Linked DNA regions of Macaca fascicularis. The protein of the gene in region 1 purifies or fractionates together with the protein of each later gene. This does not show direct contact. Links are inferred from orthologs where the notes say so. Each region holds a gene or a part of one and is shown in the gene's direction. Other genes may lie near its edges.

Evidence for each region.
Region 2: the proteins of DNAJC11 (region 1) and IMMT purify together in Homo sapiens (co-immunoprecipitation; 3 studies listed by BioGRID and IntAct, with this or other methods). This does not show direct contact. The link is inferred for Macaca fascicularis from reciprocal best matches to the Homo sapiens genes DNAJC11 and IMMT.
Region 3: the proteins of DNAJC11 (region 1) and ARMC1 purify together in Homo sapiens (affinity purification with mass spectrometry; 4 studies listed by BioGRID and IntAct, counting the BioPlex papers as one, with this or other methods). This does not show direct contact. The link is inferred for Macaca fascicularis from reciprocal best matches to the Homo sapiens genes DNAJC11 and ARMC1.

What each region holds. Positions count from the first base shown.
Region 1 is NC_088375.1:228,219,023-228,222,671, forward strand, and holds part of DNAJC11 (dnaJ homolog subfamily C member 11), read left to right. Parts: coding exon 1-72; intron 73-1,052; coding exon 1,053-1,175; intron 1,176-2,365; coding exon 2,366-2,439; intron 2,440-3,649.
Region 2 is NC_088387.1:35,382,702-35,386,796, forward strand, and holds the start of IMMT (MICOS complex subunit MIC60), read left to right. Parts: upstream 1-1,251; 5' UTR 1,252-1,333; coding exon 1,334-1,378; intron 1,379-4,095. UniProt on the Homo sapiens protein: Component of the MICOS complex, a large protein complex of the mitochondrial inner membrane that plays crucial roles in the maintenance of crista junctions, inner membrane architecture, and formation of contact sites to the outer membrane.
Region 3 is NC_088382.1:75,597,139-75,600,787, reverse strand, and holds part of ARMC1 (armadillo repeat-containing protein 1), read left to right. Parts: intron 1-636; 5' UTR 637-671; coding exon 672-854; intron 855-3,649.

The sequences.
Region 1 (3,649 bases):
TATGAAGATGTGTCCGGCAGTAGCTTTCCGCAGATTGAAATTAATAAAATGCACATATCCCAGTCCATTGAGGTAAAGCACACAACCACCTCTCCGAGTACTGCAAGGGCTCGAGTTAATGAGGCACAGCACACCAAGCAGCTGGAACGAGAGTCTGTCCAGGGTTTTTCTCATCTTTATTTATGAAAGGATGCAATTAGCCACTTAAAAAAGAAAGCGCTTCAGTCCCAGCCGTGTGTGACCGCCGTGCTGGCATGTGAGCCAGCAGGAGTGTGGGCTGGGGCACTTGGCTGCCAAGGTCTTGGGCCTTTCCAGCAGAGGGTGTTAATGGTCTGGGAGAAGTAGAGGCCCAAGGTCATGGGGTTCTGGGAGAGAAAGCAGACCTCCATGGATCATTCTAACCACTGATTTTAGTTTTAAGGCAAATTCTGCTACGTGCCGCAAGGCTATAGCAGGTCCCATCCTGAGCCCTGGGCACACGAAAATGTCACCATTCTGCCCACTATTTGAATGTGGCAAGGTCAGGCCATTCTCCTGAGTGTTTATAGTAGATCTTTGTCTCCTCAGCTCATTAATTTATTCTCCGTTGCATCAGCCAACAACATGGAGTCCTAACTTGGGGAAAGTTGCCCCCTCTTGGAGCTCCCTGAGTCAGCTGATACAGAATACAGCCATGGAAAAGTCTCCAGTCCCCCCAGAACCCTGATGGCAAGCAAGGACAGGAGAGGCCCCAGGTGTACCGTGAGGGAAGGCGCACAGCGAAGCACCCTGTGCTGATACCGCTGGGACAGGCAGCCCCTGTTTCCCCTGGTGGTGTGAAATTTGCCCATTAAAGCTTTTGCAAAGCAGATTATCCTTGTGGTCACATGCAGACCAAATAACAAAGCGAAAGAAAAGTCAAGCTGCTGCGGCAGTTCTGCATCCACGTGTGCTTCTGAACAGAGGAGTCGTCTGCACCTTTGGCCTTGGACTCACAGTGCGTTCTTTAGGCTGCTGCCACTGGCACTTCCTGTTGTTTTGATTCATTCATTACCAGCAAATATCATTTTTAGGCACCCTTGACAGCGACAGACACAGCCATCCTCTCTGGAAGCCTCTCAACCCAGAATGGAAATGGAGGAGGTTCCATTAACTTTGCGCTCAGACGAGTAACTTCGGCAAAGGGATGGGGAGAGGTGAGAATGTCTGTTGGCTGAGTTGTGTTGTCCATGCAAAGTCTTATTTCTGAACATTTACACTCTCAAAGCGCACCCTCAAACTCACCCAGGGGGCCCTGTTGTTGTAAAATGGTACCAAGTGTCAAACTTCCATCAGTTGACTGGTCCTAAAAGAAAAATAGGTTTCATAAGCCTGGCCAACATGGTGAAACCCCGTCTCTACTAAAAATACAAAAATTAGCTGGGCGTGGTGGCGCCTGCCTGTAATCCCAGCTGTTCGGGAGTCTGAGGCAGGAGAATCACATGAACCCGGGAGGCGGGGGTTGCAGTGAGTCGAGATCGCACCATTGCACTCCAGTCTGGGGGACAAGAGCAAAATTCCATCTCAAAAAAAAAAAGATAAATAGGTCTTATATCTGAGAAGTCCTGTCAGTCTTCCTCAGGTTTCCTATGAGACAGCAACTTCTAGAAATCCAGCCTCTGAAACTCAGTGTTCCCTTGAGCAAAAAGCCTGTGGGCTCTTTTTCCTGCACAATTCAGAAGGCAGGTGCTCTCTCCAGTGCGATGGTTCACTGATTGGTGGCCATTTAACAGCCAGTTCTGCCGAGCAAATTGAGCTGCATCAAATTAACATTGAAGAGTTGCTTGAAAGTCACCCAGACTAGTAAACACGGCAGCCAGGCTCAGCTGTGACTTCCAAGGCTATGCGAGTGTGGAACTGCTGCTGGGCTTTTAACGTCAGACCCCTGAGGACCACCCCAGTCACCTGGGAGACATTTGGCTCAGGATGAAAATAAAAAGGAGTCAGCAGTGCATGCGGAGGGGCGGGGGGGTGGGGGGCGCACACCTGACCGCAGCAGGCGCTCTGCAGGTGGGGGCGCTGCGCTGGGAGCGGTGGGGAGCTGGCTGGTCTCCTGACCTCAGCCTGGGAGGCAAGGATCAGAGGTGAGCAGTTTTTTTCTTTGGAGGGACACCAGTGAAACATGTGCCATTGAAACCTGGGTCTCCTTTGGATCTGTGGCAGCAGACATTTCCATTTGGCTAAGGTTAAGATGAGACATTAACAATCTTCTACCCCCTTCTTTTAGAGCCCTGGCAAGACCAGTGAATTGAATGAAGGAATTATACCCAGAGGTACATACCTGAGCCTGGGTTGCTGCTATGAGATAAAACACCACTAACGCCTTCTCTTTTTCCTTTTCAAACAGTTGGAATTTGGAGCCGGAGACCTGCAGGGACCTTTATTTGGTCTCAAGCTGTTCCGTAATCTCACACCAAGATGGTAAATATGAGAGACAGCAGCTCCTCTTTGGTGGTCTTTGTTGACTTAGGAGACTAGAACTGTGTTCTTTTTATCACGGCGGTTGGCACTGTCTTGTCTGTCCTACAAGGTCACTGCGTACATCAAGGGCAGGTGCAGCACTGGCGTGAAGCCCAGGCAGTGTGCAGGTGGGAAGAGGTGGGATTGCGGGGGCGGACCCTTGTCCCAGCCCCGGCCAGGCTGCACCATCCAGGCCTCACACCTCCCTCACCTATGCCACAAGGCCGCAGAGAAAGTGCTTTCAGGGAGAGTTGGTCAGTGGACCGAAACACTTACAGACTTAAGGATCATTCCATTGTCCCAGAGAATGACAGACTGCCTCATCATCAGGTTGATTGACATATGCCAGAGACGGATCCCCCAGCCAGCCTCTGCTTCCTGTCGTCTCTGCTGCTGCCATGATGTCACACTTCTAGAACTGTGTATCCCTGTGCCTTGTAGAACAACAGCAGTGTCTTCGTTTCCTATATGGTGGGGGCAGTGATGTCTTTGTGAGCTCAGATAAAAGAACTGGTGGAGGGTAAATAATACCTTTCTTCCAGGGGAAGATAGAGCTGAAGGAGTCCTAGAATGGAGTATACGGAGTTTATTTTTTTTATTTATTTATTTTTGATTTATTTATTTTTGAGACAGAGTCTTGCTCTGTTGTCCAGGCTGGAGTTCTGTGGCGTGATCTTGGCTCCCTGCAGCCTCTGCCTCCTGGGTTCAAGCGATTCTCCTGTCTCAGCCTCCCGAGTAGATGGGACTACAGGCATATGCCACCATGCCCAGTTATTTTTGTATTTTTAGTAGAGACGGTTTCACCATGTTGCTCAGGCTGATCTCAAACTCCTGACCTCAGGTGATCCACCTGCCTCAGCCTCCCAAAGTGCTGGGATTACAGGTGTGAGCCACCGCACCTGGCCTATTTTATTTTACTTTTTTTTTTTTAGAGACGAGGTTTTGTTCTGTTGCCCAGGTTAGAGTGCAATAGCCCAATCATAGTTCACTGCAGCCTTGAACTCCTGGGCTCAAGCAGTCCTCCTCCCTCAGCCTCCTGAAAAACTAGCATTACAGGCATGTGCCAACATGTCTGGCTCATTTTTTAGTTTTTTTAGAGAAAAGGTCTCTCTATGTTGCCTAGGCTGGTCTCAAGCTCTTGGATTCAAGCAGTCCTCCCACCTCGGCCTCC
Region 2 (4,095 bases), on another chromosome or scaffold:
TCTCCATGTTACAAGTCATAGCGCAGCCTACCTCTACAGAGAATACATACTGTAATAAATTACCCAGTTAAGACTTGGAATACTTTGCAAACTCAGTACAAGATAGAAAAGTTAGTTTCCACGATATTGCAATAAGATGTTAATAATATTAATACTAACGTATTAATTCTGGAGCATACATGGAGTATTAATACCATGCTTAATATTTAACGTTTTATTTTGATTATCGAATCAATGGAATACTTTTTTTTTTTTTTTTTTTTTTTTTTTGATACGGAGCTTAGCTCTTGTTGCCTAGGCTGTAGTGCAATGGCATGATCTCAGCTCACTGCAACCTCCGCCCCCGCCCCGCCCCGCCCCGGGGTCAAGCAATTCTCCTGCCTCAGCCTCCCGAGTAGCTGGGATTACAGGCACCCGCCAGCATGCCCAGCTAAATTTCTGTATTTTTTAGTAAAGACGGGGTTTCACTATTTTGGCCAGGCTGGTCTCGAATTCCTGACCTCAGGCGACCCGCCCGCCTCGGCCTCCCAAAGTGCTGGTATTACAGGGGTGAGCCACCGTGCCCGGCCCAGTGGAATACTTTTAACGGTGCTTCTGCGCTGACTTCCCATCTTCCAACCCATCCACAAATTGCAGCCAAAATGATATTACTACAGTAAAAACTTGGAGAACGCAGTGTGGTTTAATCTGGAAGAGCAGAAGCTGTGGAGTCCAAAGGACCCGTGTTCCTATCCTTGTTGTGCCACTTGACACGTTCCACACAAGGGTCCCTACAGTGTTCGTTCACCGTTTCCAGCAATCAGGATGACTCCCTGAAGGGCCGTCAGACGAAACAAACGCGCAACCTGTGACAACTGCATTGTTTACGTAACTTTCGCCAAATAGGCTCCTTCCTACGAAATATCTAGCTCACAGAGCCAGGTGAGATTCTTTTTTGCTTTAATTCTCTGAAGAGCCACAGATGTCCATTTTCCACGTGAGTCTGAAGACTGGATTTCAGAACGCTCTCCTTCCAGCCGCGTTCACCTAGTAACCCCAGCTCCGGGCTAAGGACCTGCAGCCCGAGCGCGACCCGGAAAAGGAATCCGCCCTTTTCGCCTCCTGCGCACCAATCGCCCGGCGTTGGCGTTTCCGCAGCCGGGACAGAGCCCACCCTCTAAGAGCCGCCGAGTTGCTGCGGGCAGAAGGGGCCGCGCGTGCGCAGTGGCATCGGCTGCGCTTCCGGTGCGCCGGGCGCGGACGCGGGTACGCACACACGCAAGCACGCGTCCACTTAACTCGCGCCGCCTTGGCAGCTCCCGAGTCCAGCAGCAGTGCCGTCCGCTCGACCGAGATGCTGCGGGCCTGTCAGTTATCGGGTGTGACCGCTGCCGCCCAGGTGAGCACTGGGGCATCCGAGGGCGCGTGAGGAGGCTGACCTAGGACCGCCAGCGAAAAATGGGGGAGCCTTGGGCCCTGCCTAGCCTCCAGGACAAAGGCGAGTCTCTGGGCTACCCTCGTCGGGAGAGGCCCGGGCTGGCAACGAGGCAGCCACCAGGGAGTTCGCCAGACTGGGATGACTTGAGGTTATTGCAGCAGCGGGGTGAGGTGTGGAGAGTAGCGGGAGGCGCGGCTTCGAGGGCGTGCAGTCCAATCAGCGCCGCGCTGCCCCCGTCCAGGACCAATCCTGACTGCTGGCGTCTGTGTCGCCGGTTGGGCGCGCGATAGGTTTTTAGTGCTGAAGGTCGACGGGGGAGAACTACAGTTCCCGGCAGGACGAGCGGAGCCGCGGCTTGTTGCATCCTTAATAAGGAGGTGCCTGGACTTCTAGCGAGTGTCCACATTTTAGGGGTCAAGGTTGTAATTATCTGTGAGGGACTGCCTTTCTTTTCGCAGCTGGGAACACTTATGCACTATTCTTAATCCAAACAAAAGCGAAAGATTTTCCTTTGTGGAGTTGAAACTCCTGGTCTTCAAGGAAAGACAGGAGTCATGACCTTGTGGCTCATTTCTGAGATTAGGACAGGGATCTGTGTCTCCAGGCGCTGGGACTACTTTGACATTCAAGAAGCCTAAATACCCAGTTACTTTTAGTTTTGCGTAATTGCCAAAGTTACTTTCTAAAATTGAAAATAAAAAAGCCTGTTTCCATTGCTCACGATTATCAGAAAGTTGATATTTTGGCAAAATGTTGTAGATAGCAAAACAAGTACTGTGACTAAAGCAGTAAGTGAACAGAATCCCTAGGAAGAGTGAGTTAGAGATCATAAAAGTCAAGCTTTGTTTTTTCAAGTTCGCTTCTCTTCCTATTTGCTGCTAGGTAACAGAAGCAACCCCTTCCATAGGAAAGTGGAACGAACCTACGTTAGTTTTCTATTGTACGTAACAACCACAAATTTAGCAGAACCTTACGGGTTCTGTAGGATAGAAGCCTGGTCATGGATGATCTGTGTTCTCCCCTCCAGGTCACACAAGGCTGCAAAGTATTAGCCATGCTGTGGTTCTCATTTGGAGATCTGGGTCCTCTTCCAGGCTAATGCAGTTTGTGGGCAGAATTCAGTCCGTTGCAGTTACACGACTGAAGTCCCTTTTTTCTTGCTGCCTCTTGTCAGCCACTGCTCCCAGCTTCTACAGCCTACCCACAGTTCCTTGCCTCAAGGCTTCCAGAGGCCATTCATAACATGGATGGCTGCTTTCGTGCAGGCTACCAGGATCTTGCCTCTCTAACTTCCAAATTTCTTTTATTTCGGTCTTTCCTCTCTAGACCCAGATTTAAAAGGCTTGTGTGATTAGACCAGGCCCACCTGGATGACCTCCTTTTCAGTTAATGCAGAGTCAAGTTTTTGGGATCCCATTTGGGAAATAAGAAAACTAATTAAAACTTTGTAATAAAAAATGAACCCTTTTATAGCTCTGAATCCAGATGTCTAAACTTCCTGAAATTGCTATCTTGTAAAATTCTTTGGTTTATTCTCACCATCTCCTCAATCATTCTGTAGCATTTGACATCTGCTTTATGAGGCTCTGCACTTTTGGCTTCTCTCAAGTCATATTTTGGGTCCCATCTAGTTTTCCCTCACTGAGTCTGCTGCTTCTTCGTACCTCGAAATATACACCTTCTCATCTCTCCCTGTCTCTATAGACTCTCCAATTTGAGATTACATCAACTGTCAGAACTTTAATCCCCAAGCAGATGACTCTCGAGCCTTATCGTATTTGATTGTGCCAACTTATCCAGAATATCTCACGTGTCAAGATCCTTTCCACTTTATTAAACCCCATCTTTTTTTTTTTTTTTTTTTTTTTTTGGATACGGAGTGTCACTTTGTCACCCAGGCTGGAGTGCAGTGGCGCAATCATGGCTCACTGCAGCCTTGACCTCCCGAGCGCAAGCAGTCCTCTTACCTCAGCCTCCTGAGTAGCTGGGACCACAGGCATGTGCCGCCATCCCTGGCTAATTTTTTAAAAAATTTTTGTAGAGACAGAGTCTCTCTGTGTTGCCCAGGCTGTTCTCAATCTCCTGAGCTCAAATGATCCTCCCACTTCTGCCTCCCAAAATGCTGGGAATATAGGTGTGAGCCACTGTGCCCAGCCAACCCCATCTTCTTAAATGTCTTACTGCTTTTACTGTTGCCTCCTAGAGTCCATTCTTTAGGAGGGAATAGTAAAAGCAGTAAGACATACAGTAAAAGGCTTTTTAAAAGGCAAACATGCAAACATGAGGTCATGCTCTTTAGAGACATCCCATCACTTTCATAATAAAATCTAAACTGCTTACCATGGGCCCTTGATCTGATTCTTCTCGTATTTCGTTTTTCTACTGCCTCACTCATATTCTCCTGGTAATCTCCAGCATGTGCCTCACTGCCTTTTCATCAGTTGTTTCTTTTGCCCTGAACTCTTCTCACACATGTTTGCTTAGCTTATTCCTTTCAGGTGTTTTTTCAAATGTCACCTTCCCTTCAGAGAGGGCATCCTGATCCAAAATAAAATTCTCACTACTCTGGCCTTCCTTGCATCACTATCTTTACCCCATCCTACTTTGTTATACTTTGTAGCTCCTAGCACTACCTGATGTTATAATGTGTACTTATTACACAGTTTCCACCTTTAAAA
Region 3 (3,649 bases), on another chromosome or scaffold:
TTCCTATTCTTCCTTTTCTGTTAGGCAGTAGAATATGGCATAATCAGATGAACAGATGTGTTTAGATTCAGTCTAGATTCACTATAATCTTTCACACTACTGGCCTGAGCTGCAGGCTAAATACCTTTCCTGTCTTCTTGATTTACAGACTTCTGCCTCCGTTTTCCAAGGGCATTTTATTCTTTGTAGACAGAGTATGCTAGGTTTTTGTTCATTGATGAATAAGCAAGCTGTAAGCTAGCCACTCTTCCCTCAGGCACTAGTTTTAGGGGTAGAAATAGTCCAGAGGAAAAAAAGCACTGGCAATATTAAGTTTTAGAAGTATAGCAAAGGTTACAAGCTTGAACTATAGAGATGTTTATTGTGACTTTATTGTTAAAATATGTATGCTAAAAAGTAATTTGTTGGAATATGGAGGTTAACATATGTTCTTTAAATATTGTGCACCCAAGTTTTTTCAGTCATCTTATGTTCATTTTACTTTTCTCAAACTGTAGAGTTGCTGATTTCTAAGTTTTTGTGTGATTTAGTTGTAGTTACCTGATTCTTTCTAAACGTGTTGTAATCCTGGTTATTTCACAAGTGCCATAATATACCTCAGCAACTTAGAACTAATTCTGCAAACCTTTTCTACAGAATTTAAGGTTTTATTCATGTGCATGGCATAGAAGATGAATTCTTCCACCTCCACCATGAGTGAAGAGCCTGATGCTCTATCAGTAGTTAACCAGTTACGGGATCTAGCAGCAGATCCATTAAACAGAAGAGCCATCGTCCAGGATCAGGGATGTCTGCCTGGCCTTATTTTATTTATGGACCATCCCAACCCTCCAGTCGTCCACTCTGCTTTGCTTGTAAGTTACCTTTAGTAATTTCAATCTCTGTTTTATTTTTGCAATTAAGGAGATAATTTGGAAAAAGTGCTAGATGACATGGTAAAAAAACTGAAAGAGAGCAATTAATAGTTTGTATTTATGTATGTACAAACATATGTATGTGTGGTCTGTTTACACCAATAGTAACATGCTACATTGTTTTTATTCTTTTGTTTGTTTGTTTGTTTGAGACAGAGTCTCCCTCTGTCATCCAGGCCTGGAGTACAATGTGGCAGGATCTTAGTTCACTGCAGTCTCCACCTCCTGGATTTAAACCATCCTCCCCCACCTCAGCCTCCTGAGTAGCTGGGATGATAGATGCATACCACCATGCCAGGCACATTTTTGATATTTTTGTAGAGATAGGATTTCGCTATGTTGGCCAGGCTGGTCTCAAACTCCTGGGCTCAAGTGATCCTTCCACTTTTACCTTCCAAAATGTTGGGATTACAGCTGTGAGTCACCATGGCTGGCCCTATTTTTATTCTTTAATACAAACTGTAGCATACTCCATGCATGGAATGTTCTACCACTTCCTTTTCATTTAACAATCTTGAGGATTGGATCATATCATACACATAGACACCCAAAGAGGCACTTACTTTGTTTTTATTTTATAACAGCTTTTTAAGATGTAAGCACACAGCATCATACAATTCACTCATTTAAAGTATACAATTAAGTAGTTCTAGTATATTCACAGCGTTGTGTCACCATCACCACAACTTTTTATTTTTATTTATTTTTTGTAACTAAATTTTTTTTTTTTTAGTAGCGATAGGATGTAGCTGTGTTAGCTAGGCTCGTCTCAAACTCCTGGCCTCAGGTGATTCTTCTACCTCGACCTCTCAAAGTGCTTAGATTACAGATGTGAGCCACTGTGCCTGGACCACCACAACTTTTTACCTATTGCTTCCCAGACCCCCCAACTCCCTATCCCTAAGCAAACTATTAATCTACTTTTTGTATGTTTATATTTGCCTATTCTGGCAAAAATGCCTATATATTTTGCATATGAATAGGGCCAAGCATGGTGGCTCACGCCTGTAATCCCAGCACTTTGGGAGGCCGAGGTGGGTGGATCACCTGAGGTCAGGAGTTTGACACTAGCTTGGCCAACATGGTAAAACCCCGTCTCTACTAAAAATACAAAAAAATTAGCCGGGCGTGGTGGTGGGTACCTGAAATCCCAGCTACTCAGGAGGCTGAGGCAGGAGAATCCCTTGAATCCAGGAGGCAGAGGTTGCAGTGAGCCAAGATTGTGCCGTTGCATTCCAGCGTGGGCAGCAAGAGTGAAACTCCATTAAAAAAAAAAAAGTTGTTAAAATTAATGTTATGGGAAATTAATGTTATGGAAATTTAATCTATTGTCCTTTACTTAAGGACTCATGATAAATTCCCCATTTAGTCTAATTTCATAAGTTTGTACAGAAGGCATATAGGCTTTTCCTTTTGGAAAAGTTTTTCTATTTTGCCTTTACAGAATGAAGTTTAGCAGTCAAAAAAGACATTGGTATAAAAGAACAGTAGTAACAAATGGGAAAAATGGCACAGCCCCCAGTCTGGGTTCTATTTCAATAAGAAATGCAATAAGGATGAGAAGAAAGAGGGGGTTGGTCTATAGATAGGGACTTGGGGCTAAAGGAAGTCTTTTTTTTTTTTTTTTTTTAAATAGACTAGAACATGTCTAAATTCAGAGGGCAAGGGCTACTAGAATGGGAGAGGTTTGAGGGGAAGACTCTCATAATTGCAGAAAATAGGAAAGATTTGCTAATAATAAAGTAGTTCAGCAGTGTTGAGGGGCTGATTAGTTTGGTAATACTGAATCGGTATGATTCAGGCCTACTATAGGCTCGGAGAGCCAAGTAGTTGGATTTGTGCAGAGTTGTTACTTGGCCAGGTTAAGTTGGGCAGAATGATTGTGCAAGGGAGTTTAGGGTCTTGGCAGGATTGTTTGAAATGATATACAGTAGGTACTAGGCTGAATAAGGAAGGGAAGTATAAAGTCATGGAGGGACTGAGCTAAGGAGAGGGATCTATGGGTGAAAGTTGCCAAGAGGCTGAAGAAAAGATTTTGTTGTTGTTGTTTTTTCTGTTTTTGAGACAGAGTTTTGCTCTTGCCGCCCAGGCTAGAAAGCAATGGCGCGATCTTGGCTCACTGCAACCTCCGCCTCCTAGGTTCAAGTGATTCTTCTCCCTCAGCCTTCTGAATAGCTAGAATTACAGACCCGCACCATCACACATGGCTAATTTTTATATTTTTAGTAGAGATGGTTTTTCACCACGTTGGCCAAGCTAGTCTCGAACTCATGACCTCAGGCGATCTGCCCATCTTGGCCTCTCAAAGTGCTGAGATTATAGGCATGAGCCACCACGCCTGGCCATCAGGTGTGTTGTTTTGTTTTTGTGATTTCCTTTTTTTTGTCACTGTTAGCTTATTAGTGTACACTTTTGTTTTTATTTTATTTAGTGGTTGCTGTAGGTTTTACAATATGCATCTTTAACTTATTACAGCCTACCTTTAAATGAATCCTACCCTTAACATGTAGTGTAAGAATCGCACAAGAGTATATTTCCATTTCTTCCTCCCATCTTTTGTGCTATTTTTGTCATACATTTTACTTCTACATGTTTAAAAACCTACAGTGTATATATTTTTGCTTTAAACAGTCAATTATCTTTTAAAGAGATTAAAAATTTAAAAACACCTTTTTTTTTTTTGAGACGGAGTCTTACTCTGTCACCCAGGCTGGAGTGCAGTGGCACAATCTCAG